Linked DNA regions of Macaca mulatta. The protein of the gene in region 3 purifies or fractionates together with the protein of the main gene of each other region. This does not show direct contact. Links are inferred from orthologs where the notes say so. Each region holds a gene or a part of one and is shown on either strand. Other genes may lie near its edges.

Evidence for each region. The genes of interacting proteins can lie anywhere in the genome.
Region 1: the proteins of EEF1A2 (region 3) and EEF1B2 purify together in Homo sapiens (co-immunoprecipitation; 4 studies listed by BioGRID and IntAct, counting the BioPlex papers as one, with this or other methods). This does not show direct contact. The link is inferred for Macaca mulatta from reciprocal best matches to the Homo sapiens genes EEF1A2 and EEF1B2.
Region 2: the proteins of EEF1A2 (region 3) and VARS1 purify together in Homo sapiens (co-immunoprecipitation; 3 studies listed by BioGRID and IntAct, counting the BioPlex papers as one, with this or other methods). This does not show direct contact. The link is inferred for Macaca mulatta from reciprocal best matches to the Homo sapiens genes EEF1A2 and VARS1.

The regions. Positions count from the first base shown.
Region 1 is NC_133417.1:111,412,082-111,416,221, reverse strand, and holds the start of EEF1B2 (elongation factor 1-beta), read right to left. Parts: upstream 2,801-4,140; 5' UTR 2,476-2,800; coding exon 2,396-2,475; intron 1,876-2,395; coding exon 1,753-1,875; intron 1,117-1,752; coding exon 990-1,116; intron 587-989; exon of another isoform or gene 508-586; intron 428-507; coding exon 361-427; intron 235-360; exon of another isoform or gene 105-234; intron 1-104. UniProt on the Homo sapiens protein: Catalytic subunit of the guanine nucleotide exchange factor (GEF) (eEF1B subcomplex) of the eukaryotic elongation factor 1 complex (eEF1).
Region 2 is NC_133409.1:150,522,938-150,527,030, reverse strand, and holds the start of VARS1 (valine--tRNA ligase), read right to left. Parts: upstream 2,801-4,093; 5' UTR 2,594-2,800; intron 2,299-2,593; 5' UTR 2,266-2,298; coding exon 1,879-2,265; exon of another isoform or gene 1,813-1,878; intron 244-1,812; exon of another isoform or gene 186-243; coding exon of another isoform or gene 138-185; coding exon 3-137; intron 1-2. UniProt on the Homo sapiens protein: Catalyzes the attachment of valine to tRNA(Val).
Region 3 is NC_133415.1:116,360,600-116,364,686, reverse strand, and holds the start of EEF1A2 (elongation factor 1-alpha 2), read left to right. Parts: upstream 1-1,287; 5' UTR 1,288-1,313; intron 1,314-1,691; coding exon of another isoform or gene 1,692-1,877; exon of another isoform or gene 1,878-1,892; intron 1,893-2,573; exon of another isoform or gene 2,574-2,645; 5' UTR 2,646-2,646; coding exon 2,647-2,790; intron 2,791-4,087. Other genes in the region: PPDPF (pancreatic progenitor cell differentiation and proliferation factor), read right to left, coding at 1,692-1,877. UniProt on the Homo sapiens protein: Translation elongation factor that catalyzes the GTP-dependent binding of aminoacyl-tRNA (aa-tRNA) to the A-site of ribosomes during the elongation phase of protein synthesis.

The DNA of each region.
Region 1 (4,140 bases), on a different chromosome or scaffold from region 3:
ATAATGAACTGTATTTTTTTACCTTACTCCAAGACACAAACAAATCACCTCAATTTGTTTTGAGATTGACTATCTCCTTAGCCAAACAAAACTACAGATACATCTTGTGTCTGTCACACATATGCCCACTTTCTGTTTTGCTAAGAAAGAGGTGTTTGTGTTAACAGTTTCTTTCCCACAGAGGAATGCCACAACTGCTACCATAAGAACAGCTGCAGACCAGTAGCTGTGGAAGAACTTCTACAGGAGGTTTTAAAATATTGACCTGTTCAAGGAATGTGGAGGAAATTACTTAAAGGTCAAGCTTTGAAAAAGATTACTTACATTATCATGAAATGAAGTTAAAAACAAATGACCTACTTTTGGCTTTCTTTGATTCATATTGTGCAAGACGTTCTTCTCTTAGCCTCTTAGCCTCTTCACTTTCCTGTAAAGAAAAAAAATTAATCCACTTCAGAAAGTCGGTTGTCATCTGCTTAAAGCTAGTGGGGTCATCACAAAAAAGACTGGCTTAATCAGAAAAAAGCAAATCCATCACGAACTCAGCCGAAAGATGGTGATTTGATTTTATTCATCATGCAACCAGTCAGAATTTGAAAAAGGCATATAAGTTAAAGCCAGGATTCAAATCCAGGCAATTTGGCTTAACCACATTGATAAAATTGCTGATCGATGTATTCTTTTTTTTTTTTGAGACGGAGTCTTGCTCTGTCGCCCAGGCTGGAGTGCAGTGGCATGATCTCGGCTTACTGCAATCTCCGCCTCCCAGGTTCAAGCAATTCTCTGCCTTAGCCTCCTGAGTAGCTGGGATTACAGACACCCGCCACATTTTTTTAAATTTTTAGAACAGACAGGGTTTCACCATCTTGGTCAGGCTGGTCTTGAACTCCTGACCTCGTGATTCACCCGCCTCAGCCTCCCAACATGCTGGGATTACAGGCGTGAGCCACCGTGTCTGGCCGATATATTCTTTATAGAAGATGCCATACCTCCTCATCATCAGATCCAAAGAGATCAATATCATCATCATCTTTACTATCTGTAGCTCCACTTCCTGTAGTGTCTTCCACATCAGCAGGACCATACTTGCCCAAAGCTTTCTTCACTCCTGGCAGGCTTGAAAAACATTTAAATTCAACCACTATTGAGCTAGTATAACATACTTTTCCAGACAATACAAAATAACTTGTTTTAATCACTACTTATCACTAGATCCCTTTTGCAATAATAATTTACCCTTTCACATGCTCCCAGGTAAACACTATCATATGTTCAACTCCTCACCCGACAAGCATTAGTACCATGTGAGACATTATTTTCAATACTCACTATGATTTACTCTTTCAGTATGAACATTTCTGTTTGAGATTTCATTAAGTATGCTCAGTTCCATTCTTAGTGAACTGGAGTCCACTTCCCCAAACTTCCACCCTTGTTGGCAGTTTCAGAAGAATGGCCAAGGACTGAATGAATGAGCCACCCTCTCACCCCAGAGGTGGGCCCCCCAGGTCAAGGTCGAGGCACATTGGCAGGGCAGTGTGGGGAAAAGTTGAATTGCTGCTGTCCATGTTCTACCTGTTCTGTGAAAAAATGGAGGGCTTCAGTCTCTTGGCCTTCTCAGGTTACAGAAAAATTTAGCTTACAATACCCCAACAAAACTAAAGTAGCCTGGGTCTAGTTTTGTCATGTGAACATCCTGATAAAGCTTCGAGAGTAGTCTTATTCTTCAGCTAGATACAAAGATGATTTTACCTGGCCTTTTCCTTTTCGTAGGACTTGATGTGATTATACCAACGTAGGGCATGACACAAGTCAGCAGGCGGTGGCCCGGACACGGCTTCAAATACTGCCACATCTGCTTGTGATGGCACATACCTGCCAATGACACAGAGACATTCACACACACCTTTGAAAAACAAACGCCAGCGAATAAATAATCAGTGCCTATGCATCACATTAATTAGTGGGCACTAACTCCAGTAGGGTTGCTTTAATGCTTTTCTTTTCTTATTATCTCCTTAAAATCAAACCATATGTTTGGGTCACCGCGCTATCCTGAGAAATGTCTGCAGACCTCAAATACTGCAATCTCTAACGTTGCTCTATCTACAACCTAACATGTATTAACTGGGCAGCGATGTGGAAACACCTGGCTGAATTAAGTGTAAATAAAGCACATTTTAACCTTCCTTTGCTCGTGAGCCGCTCCCCGGAGGCCGGGCTCGCACCACACGAGGGCCTTGGGAGATGGCCACGGGGCGCTTTCCCGTCATCCTCGAAAGGGCCCTGGGGCCCCGTCTCCCTCCCTCCAGCGGCAGCCGACACGCTGCGCCACGTGGCCCCGGCCCCGGTCCCAGAAACCCCTCCACCACCCCGACTCAGCCGGTCCGCTCACCCCTCGATGTAGCTCTTGTCCGCCAGGTAATCGTTGAGCACCTGGAGGCCGGCGGGGCTTTTCAGGTCTCCGAAACCCATGGTGTCGGCTGTATCCGAGAGCTGGGAAACAGCAGAAAGAGAGCGCACAAGTTGTGGGCTCCCCGCGCTTAAGAGAGGAAAAAGGGCCCGGAGAAGCCGGAAAATTCCTTATATAGAGACGGAGGCGTTTCCCTCCACCACGCCGGACCGAAGGTTAAAGGTCAAAGTACGTTAGCATTCCCACTTCTCCACGTACGAATTGGGGGCCCTGAATTAAACGGCTCACAAATTGTCCCTGGATCTTTCGTTGCGTTTGGAAATAAATTAATAAAATGGGCATGTCTTAAGTTCATACCTCCACGGCTCCCGAAGATGACGGGAACCGCCCCTAGAAGCGCCGGAGATGACCGAAGACGCTCGGCCTCGAGGCTGCCGGCCACTTCCGGCGGAACTGCGGGTCCAAGTTGTCCTTCCCGCCTCCGGGCTGGGCCGACCTCAGCTCCGCCCTCTGGTCGGCTGACGGAAATTGCCGACAAACTTATCGAATGCAAGGATTCTAGTCCCTCCGGGCTTTCCGTTCTCCAGGCCCGGCTGACAGAGTTAGCTGAGGCCGCCATATTGAGTAAGCGACCCGGCCTCCAAGGGGGTAGTTGTGGTCCAGACAGTTTAGCAGAACAGCCTCCGCGGCTCCGGGGAGAAGGTGAGGTCTTGTATGGATGGGAAGGGTGAGGTGCATGGGTCAGAGGCTTATTTATTGACGGGACTGTTTCCTTTGGCCCACGCGACTTAGTCTTCTCTTGTCCTTGACTGGGAGCCGCCTCCCGCCCCGCCGCCTCGGAAGCCTCTGAGAGCCGGCAAGTGGGGCTTTTAGCCACGGTCTCTGGTCTGATGGAGCAGAAAGGAAGATGAGGATTAGGGGGCCCTCGGGAGCGCTGGCCCGAATGCGGGCTTGTAGGTGACCTTCCCTCTGCAGGGAAAATTCAGGACATTCCCCTCTCAGAGGAGGCCGTTTTATTCCCCGGTAGAGGACCAGTGTCCGATGACTTAAGCCTTAAGACTGAGCCTTTTCCCCCAGATTTTTACACGCCTGGTACAGTACATGATTGTTTGGTCGCTGTTGTGTTAGCAGTGGCTCACGCTTCTGTTGTCCTTATTTGTTTTGTCCATTGACCACGTTGGACAGAATTTTTAAATTCCTTTCACTAACGGGAAATTGAGAAAAATGACTTTTTGAAAAGTTAGCTCAGGGTTGCATTGCGAATAACAAAATATTGTTTACAAGTTATTGGGATCTATGCTTGTACTGTGAGGTCTTGGATCAGACACAACTTCACACACGAATTGACAGTATAGAAGTGTAACAATAACTTTTTGATGAATAAACAGGTTATTTTTGTTTTGCGGAATAGTCTTGTTTTCACCGACTTAACGCTGCCAGAGCACCTGCACTTTTTAAATCCGGGAAAGTGGTCCCTACAAATTAACGACCAGAAATTAGAGATTCAGTTCACTTAACAGTTACTGAACGTTTACTACGAGCCAGAAATGAGTCCGTAAAGAAGAATAAAATGGGTGATATTCTGGGGAATCGTCAGGAAATGTTAGATAGGCTGGTCAATGAAACTGAGAAAAGGCTTCGAAGCCAAGATTTGAAGGATAAGGAGGGGCCAGGGAAGAACATTTCAGTCCGAGGTCACTGCCAGTGTCAAGAGGGGAGGGGCTGTG
Region 2 (4,093 bases), on a different chromosome or scaffold from region 3:
ACGTATCGGAAAGGCAGCAGCAAGGCTGTGACAGCCGCCAGGTCAGCCAGAGTAGGGGCCTCCCCGGCCAAGTAGGTGTGCAGCCGAAGCCACTCCTCCAAGGGGCTCAAGGCCCTGCCCAGGGCCCCCAGCACAGCCTGGCAGGAAGGGGAAGAGGTGTGAGACAAGGTTTGGCCCGCCTCCATCTCCCACCACAACCCTCCTTTTGGCCTCCCTCCACCCCACTCCAACAAATCACCACCTCTGAGTCCCATTTCTTCACTCAAGTAGTCATAATAAAAATACTTCTGACTCATCCAGCAAATGAAACTCAATACTTATGTGTTAGATGCAATATGTTAAGCATAGAAGTAAAGATTATATGAGGCAACTCAATAACTGCCAGGTTCAGGACATCAATAAATATTTAAGTACTTCTCCAGAGAATGAGAGGACAACACGAACAGATAGACAGAGCCCTGACCTGGTAGAGTTAACATTCTTGTAGGGGAACAACAAATGAGCGAATATAAAATGCAGTGCTCGGGCCGGGCCTGGTGGCTCACGCCTGTAATCCCAGCACTTTGGGAGGCTGAGGCGGGGGGATCATGAGGTCAGGAGATCGAGACCATCCTGGCTAACAGGGAGAAACCTTGCTTCTACTAAAAATGCAAAAAAATCGGCCAGGCATGGTGGCAGGCACCTGTAGTCCCAGCTACTAGGGAGGCTGAGGCAGGAGAATGGCGTGAACCCGGGAGATGGAGCTTGCATTGAGCTGAGATCATGCCACTGTACTCCAGCCTGGGCAACAGAGCGAGACTCCGTCTCAACAACAACAACAAAAAAAAACAAAAAAAACCCATGCCATATTTTTCTTAACTCCTATGAAGAAAAATAAAGCAGAATGAGGGGAACAGGGGCCGGGCGCCGTGGCTCACGCCTGTAATCTCAGCATTTTGGGAGGCCGAGGCGAGCAGACAATCTGAGGTTAGGAGTTCAAGACCCTGGTCAACATGACAAAACCCCATCTCCACTAAAAACACAAAAAATTAGCCAGGCGAGGTGGCAAGCGCCTGTAATCCCAGCTACTCAGAACGCTGAGGCAGGAGAATCACTTGAGCAGTGAGCTGAGATCGCACCACGGCATTCCAGCCTGGGCAACAGAAGGAGACTCAGTCTAAAAAAAAAAAAAAAGAAAAGAAAAGAAAAAAAAGAGGGGAACAGGGAATTCCAGGAGAGAGGAACTCTATTTTATTTGTTTGTTTGGACAGACATTCTGAATGTAAGGACTCTATAGGGTGATCACAACATGAGGGAGCAAGTCAGGGTCTGTCGCATTCATTCATCCATTCAATAAATACTAATTTCCTATCATGTGCTCAACACCATGCAAGGAGGTGGAGTTGAAAGTACACCAAGGCTCAGGTCTCCTTTGGAAGGACTGATAGTTACAATCTGGCAGGGTTATCTCTCCTCTCACTTCCCTTCCTCATTTCATTTCTCTTTTATCTCCTCCCAGCAATTGTCATCTCTCCCTCACCCAGTCTTTTCCTGCAATTCAAATAATTTCTATCCTCATCAATTTCAGACTCATCAAACTTTTACTAAGAGACTTTAAAAGTGCCCGGCACTAAACTATGTGCTCTGCGCACATCTTTTAATCCTATTAACTCAGTGAGGCAAGCATTACATCAACTTGCCTGTGTGTTCATAGACATAGGACGACCAAGACACAGCGGGTTTATGAAGCGTGCCCAGGGTTACCATACCGGTTGGCAATCTGGGATTTGATCACTCTTTTCCCACATCTGATGTGCTACCTTCTTGTCTCACTGTCCATTCCAGTCCTCGCTTCCCTCCTCTGAATTTCTCCCCTCCCCCTCTGTACAACCCCCTCACCTGGGGGTCCTGGGCCGAGCTTCGGAGGCCCAGGGCCGGCAGCGTTGCTCCACAGGCAGCTGGTATTAACTCCGTGTCGGCGTAACTGACCCACTGTTGGACGAGGACAGCAGCCCGGCTGCCCCCTGGGCCTCCCAGGCCTGCAGGCCACAGCAACTGGGACACAGCCGTGGCCCCCCACACCCAGAGTCCACCGGGCCCCTGCTCCAGGGCCGGCAGGCGGGGTGGGGGAAAGGGAGTCCTGCTAGTCGGGGGCGGCTGGAGACAGATGCGGGGGTGGGCTCCTCCCCATCCGGGACCCTCCCCAGCCTCCCCATAGCGAGCGGCTATGAGGGCTCGGAGGCTGGGGAAGGCATCTGGGTGAGGGGAGACGTAGAGGATGGACATAGTTATGAGAGGGTCCGAACGAAGTAGAAAAACCTAAGAAGAAAGAGAGACAGGGGATGACTGAGGGATCCAGGTGGGTCCTATATTTGAGTAGAGAGGGGACCCTCACAGGAGCTCCTCCGCCGCAGACACCCGAGTCCCCCAGGACTGAGGGTCTGACCAGGCAGGCTGTCAGGAGCCAAAGACCTGGCTCTCAGAGGAGCAGTGACAGTAGGGAGCTCCTGGGGAAGAGGGACTATCCATGATCGCGAGGCTTCGGGGAGTGTGGAAGACTCTCAGGAGCCGGTCGGCGTCTGGTTGGACGCGGGTTCGAGCCGCGTGTACGTACTGGAGGGAGATGGTAAGACTGGACCGGGAATCCACCTCACAGCCAGGCGCCGGCCGCGGCTGGACCGGCCGGGCGGCCGGGGCGGAGGAGTCGAGCGGGCAGAGATGGTGGGCGGCTCTCCAGGTGACCCTAGTTCCCTGAGATCGCCGCCCCGGCAGCCGGCGCCCACGTGTTCCCCCCTTTGTGACAGGGAGAGTTTCCGGGCCTGCGGGTCCTGGCGGGGGCGGCCTGGCCCCGCCTGCGTGTACGCACACCACCGTGTCCGACACTGCCCCGGGGGCCGCGCCGCCCGCCGCCAGCCGCCAGCCGCTCTCACGAGGAACAGCGCAGGGCGCGGGGCGCTGGGCGCGGACGCAGGACGAGAGGACGCCCCCGGGCACCGCGCTCCCGTCAGGCGCCGCCACGGGCACCTTGCGCGGGTCCTCGGGCCGGGTGGCGAGGGCGGCGCCCAGCGGGCAGCTAGGGAACTGGCCCAAGAGGGTCAGCTGGCCCTGCAGGTGGAGAGCGTTCCCCACCCGGTATCGGGGAAGAGCCCAGGAGGGAGCAGCCTGATGAGGACCGAAGGGGAGGTCCATTTGCCGAGGCCCTGGCGTCCAGCTTCCTCTTTGAGCCTCATCTCCTCATGTATGAGAAAAGGGTGACGGCCGGGCGCGGTGGCTCACGCCTATAATCAATCCCAGGACTTTGGGAGGCCAAGGCGGGCGGATCACCTGAGGTCAAAAGTTCCAGACCAGCCTGGCCAAGATGGTGAAAGCCCGTCTCATGCCTGTAATCCCAGCACTCTGGGAGGCCGAGGCGGGTGGATCACAAGGTCAGGAGTTCAAGACCAGCCAGGCCAAGGTGGTGAAACCCCATCTCTACTAAAAATACAAAAATTAGCCAGGCGTGGTGGCGGGCGCCTGTAATCCCAGCTACCCCGGAGCCTGAGGCAGGGAATTGCTTGAACCCTGGAGGTGGAGATTGCAATGAGCCAAGATGGTGCCACTGCACTCCAGCTTGGAGACAGAGCTGGAGTATTTGTAAAAATACAAAAATTAGCCAGGTGTGGTGGCACACACCTGTAATCCCAGCTACTTGGGAGGCTGAGGCAAGAAAATCACTTGAACCTGGAAGCGGAGATTGCAGTGAACTAAGATCATACCACTGCACTCCAGCCTGGGTGACAGAGTGAGACTCCATCTCAAAAAAAAAAAAAAAAAAAAAAAAATATTAGCCGGGCATGGTGGTGGGCATCTGTAATCCCAGCTACTCGGAGCTGAGGCAGGAGAATCACTTGAACCAGGAGGCGGAGGTTGCAGTGAGCCAGACCACACCAGTGCACTCCACCCTGGGCGACAGAGCAAGACTCCCATCTCAAAAACAAGAAAAGGAGGGTCATGCTAGATGGTCTCTAACGGTCCCTTAAGGCTGAGAAGTCTCATCTGTTATCATGAACTCTTTGCTGAATGAGTGAATGAAGTTTAGTAATTCCCAGTCACAACTTTTCTCCAAAATATAAAT
Region 3 (4,087 bases):
CCTCACACCTGCCAGGGGGCCTGGTAGGGGTCCAGTCTCTGGGGATCCCCATGGCTTTACCCAGTGGCAGGTGCTGGGCCCGACCCAGGCCCTCCATGTCAACACTCAGTGGGCACTCAGGGCTGACGGGACAGGTGCCAGGGCTCTGCCCCCACTCAGCACACACCCCCCGAGACCCTGCTGGCAGGAAGATCCGAGTAGGGGGGGCAGCGTGGGAGGGAAGATGTGAATACCCGGGTGAGACCACAGGATCTTGGGGTCTGGGAGGAAGCCCCTGACCTTGGTCTTCACACAACACATGGCCGCCACATCCCCTTCCTCACATCCCACGTTGGTCATTACCCGCGGGTGCCCAGGACCTCAGGGACTCCCCACTTCCTACAGAGCGTGGCCCGGTCTTTGGCTTGGCATCCTGACCCCATATGAGGACAGCCGCAAGGCGCTGAGGTGCAGCGGGGTGGGCGCTGGGCGGGGGCCTGGGTCTGTCTGGATCTGACTCGCCCTTGGCTGGCGCTGTTTCCCAGCAGCAGCCGGCAGTAGGCGCCCCCGGAGGGCAGGGTCCCTGGAAGATGTCAGTGGGTCTGGGAGCGGGCTTCCGGCGTTCCCTGCACCGTGGGACCAGCCTCTCCGGGGAGGGTGGTTCTGCGCCGGATCCTGGGGGCCTGTCATGGTGCGCCCAGGAGGGCAGGCACGTGAGGACAGGGGCTGGAAACCAGCAGATTCCGGGGTTCCACCCTGAGACCTGCACCCTCTGGCCTCACTAGGGAGAGCCCCTCAGAGCCGGGCTTCGGGGGTTCTTGGGCGTCCCTCATGAGCAGCCGGGGAGGGGCCGGTAGACCCAGGCTCGTCTCCCAGGCTGCAGCGCAGCTGTTCCCCTCCCCCGCCTGCCGGCTCCGGTCCTCGGCGTCTGCCCCGTCCCCGGGGACCGCTTTTCGCGGCTGAAGCGTGTTCCTGCCCCGAGCCGGCTCTCGCCCCGTCTCCCGGGTCCGCCGCGCTCTCCCAGCGCGGTCTCCATCCCCGTCCCTCCCTCCCGCCGCCTCCCCGCCCTGCCCCCCGCCCCGCCCCCGCCCGCTGCGCGTTTCTCTCCCGCCTCCCGCGTCCGTCTTTGCAGCCCGCGCCTCCCGCATCCCCTCGCGTCCCCGTGGCGCCCGCCCGCGCGCGTCCGCGCCCCGCCCCCTCCCGCGCGGTTCCGCATTGGCGTGCTGCAGGGCGCGGTGCACTGCGCCGCCACCGTCAATAGGTGGACCCCCTCCCGGAGATAAAACCGCCGGCGCCGGCGCCGCCAGTCCCTCTGGCTGAGACCTCGGCTCCGGGTAAGGACGCTCGGCCCCCGGGCCTCCGCCCCCGTCCCCGTCTTCCGAAGAGGGACCCCCGGGGCCGGTCCCGCGGGGCAGAGGGCGGCCGGGCCCGGCACCCACACCCGCCCCCGCGCGCGCCCGGATTCCGGCTCCCGGGGGTCCCCGCGTCGGCCGGGCTGGGCCGGGGGTGGGGGGCGGCGCGGGGCGGCGCGGGGCGGCGGGGCCGGGTCCTGGGCGGCGATCTCCCCGTAGCCATGACCTTGGGGCCGCGGGGACCCTGCGGGCTGGGGGCAGCGTCTTCAGTGCCAGGGGCTGATGGGGGTCGGGCTTCGGGGCGCTGGGCCAGAGGACGCTGAGGGAGGTGGTGAGATCTGGGGGCCCTGGCCTCCCCACCCCCACCCGTGTTCCCACCCCGGGGTGGCTTCTATCCTCTTTGCCTCCCCCAGCCGCCTGTCCCCGAGGAGCAGTGTGGGTTTCTCCACTGACCTCTGTGATGGGACGGGGCTGTGACCCAGGGCCCTGACCGGAGGGGAGGGGGGAGGGAGGGTGCCCCCTATATCCCCACCGGGCCGAGGGCATCTCCACCTGGCACTTGCTGGGCTTGGCTGGACCGGGTCCTCCTTCCTCAGGCTGGAACAGGGACCCCCACCTCCTGGCCACTGTCTGTCCCTGTGAGAGTCTGGGGGGGTGGCACGTAGAGCTATTCTGGGTCCCTAATCTGGGCAGCGCATCTCCGTCGGGGCTCTGGCCCAGCCTGCCGGGCAGGGATGAGGGGAAGATGGCGCCGTCCCTGCCTGAGGAGGGGAGTGGGGAGCAGTGGCCATCTCTCCCGGTGGCAGCGGGTGGGGGTGGGGCGCTGTGTCCCTGGCCCTGCTGCCGGGGAGGGGAGCGAGCGTGGAGGACAGGGCCCTGGAGCACTGGGCAGGTGACTCATCACCCTGCTTTGCTGGTCACGGACGTACCTAGCCTGGCACTGCGTGGTCCTTCCAAATGGTGGCTAACCCCTTCCCAAGGAGCGGCCCTGCAGGCTCCCAACGCCCAGTTATTTACAGCAGATGGGGCTGCTTGGGCTCAAGTGTGGGGTGGCGGCAGTGTACAGCCTCTACTTGCCCTGGCCAGGCCCAGCTGTGGGTGGGGGCCCTTCCCTCCCCACCAAACATGGGGGCTTGGTTTGTGGGCAGAGATGTGTGCCCAGCCTGTGCCAGGACAGTCTCTGCTGGTCTCTCCCCCCTGGGCTCCCCATCACCTGTCTCCCCCCCACTGCTGGCACCACAGAATCACTGCAGCCCCCCCCTCGCCCCGAGCCAGAGCACCCCGGGTCCCGCCAGCCCCTCACACTCCCAGCAGAATGGGCAAGGAGAAGACCCACATCAACATCGTGGTCATTGGCCATGTGGACTCTGGCAAGTCCACCACCACGGGCCACCTCATCTACAAGTGCGGGGGCATCGACAAAAGGACCATCGAGAAGTTCGAGAAGGAGGCAGCTGAGGTGAGCTCCGGGGGCTCTGGTCTTGGCCCCCTGAGAAGGAACCCCCAACTCCTGTGGTGGCCAGGCTTGGCATCTCCCAGCCCCAGGACATGTGGTTCAGGAGACCTCCAGGGCAGGAGGGACCCCTGCTGTGGGGCACTCAGGCCTCAGAGGGTCCAGTGGGGCAGCCTCTCTTGCAGAGAGCTTGGTGGGGGAGGGGTGGCCATCGAGCTGCCGGACTTGCCCTGTGGTGAGGGAGGTGACCTGGGAGGGTCCACAGAAGGCTCTGGAACTCTGCCACATTGAGCTGGGGCTGGAGGGCCCTACAGCCTTGCCCCCTTCCCCCCAGGGCCAAGGCTGGGGCTGGAGGTGGTGCTGCCCTCACTTGTCCCAGGGCCCTGCCAGGACGCACGCTGCTATTAATAGCTGATTGATGGGCAGCCGGCCCGTCTGCTCCATTTTCTTGTGCTGGGCTGTGGAGGGCTGCTGTCCAGTGCACCCCTGGGGTGGGGGTCCTGGATGAGGCGGCCCTCTGGCTGACCTTTTGAAGCGGTTCCTCTTTGGTGGCTGAGACAGTGGTGGGGAGCGGCCATGAGTCAGGGTCTGCTCTCTGGTCCCCCTCCCTTGCCCAGGGCTCTGGGGAGAAGCCCACTTCTGGGAGGGCCTGTGGGAGCTCTCACCTGGATGATGAAGGTGGAGGCCAGGGCCTGGGGAGGGGGGCACTCGCTGTCCTGGGCTGAGTCTCTGCCCTGGTGAGGTGGGTGCTCTGAGCTGCACCCCTGAGTTTGGGCTGCATCACCCTTTACCTAGCCTCGTCGGGAGAAGGCGGGGGTTTCAGAGGGCCGCTGGTTCAGGCCCCAGCTGGGTCCCGTCTGGGTCCCCTCCAGGCTGGGCAGCCTCTTGGAGGGCAAGAGTCCAGTCTGTGCAAGGCCCTGGTGGGGAGCTATGCCCAGCTGGGTAGTGACCATCGCTGTTGCCCTGACTGCAGCCCGTCCCCTCCTGTGGGGGTCTCACTGGCTGAGGCCCCCCAGCTTCCCGTGACCGGCAGAGCGAGGAAGGGGAGGAGAAGCCTCAGGGGGGTGGGGAGGCTGGAGCATCGGGAAGGATCGGTGCAGCCAGGGCCTCCTCCTGACCTCATTCCGTTTTCCCTTCTCCTCACCTTAAAATAAAATAACACCGAGGGTTATTTATCTGACAGCCCCAAACACGGTGGTATTATTGGCCTCTGGCTGAGGAAGGGATCTGGGGGCGTCCGCAGCTTCAGATAAAGGGGAGCCCTGGCGGGGGAGGGGTTTATCCCATCTGGCGGCTTCGCTGG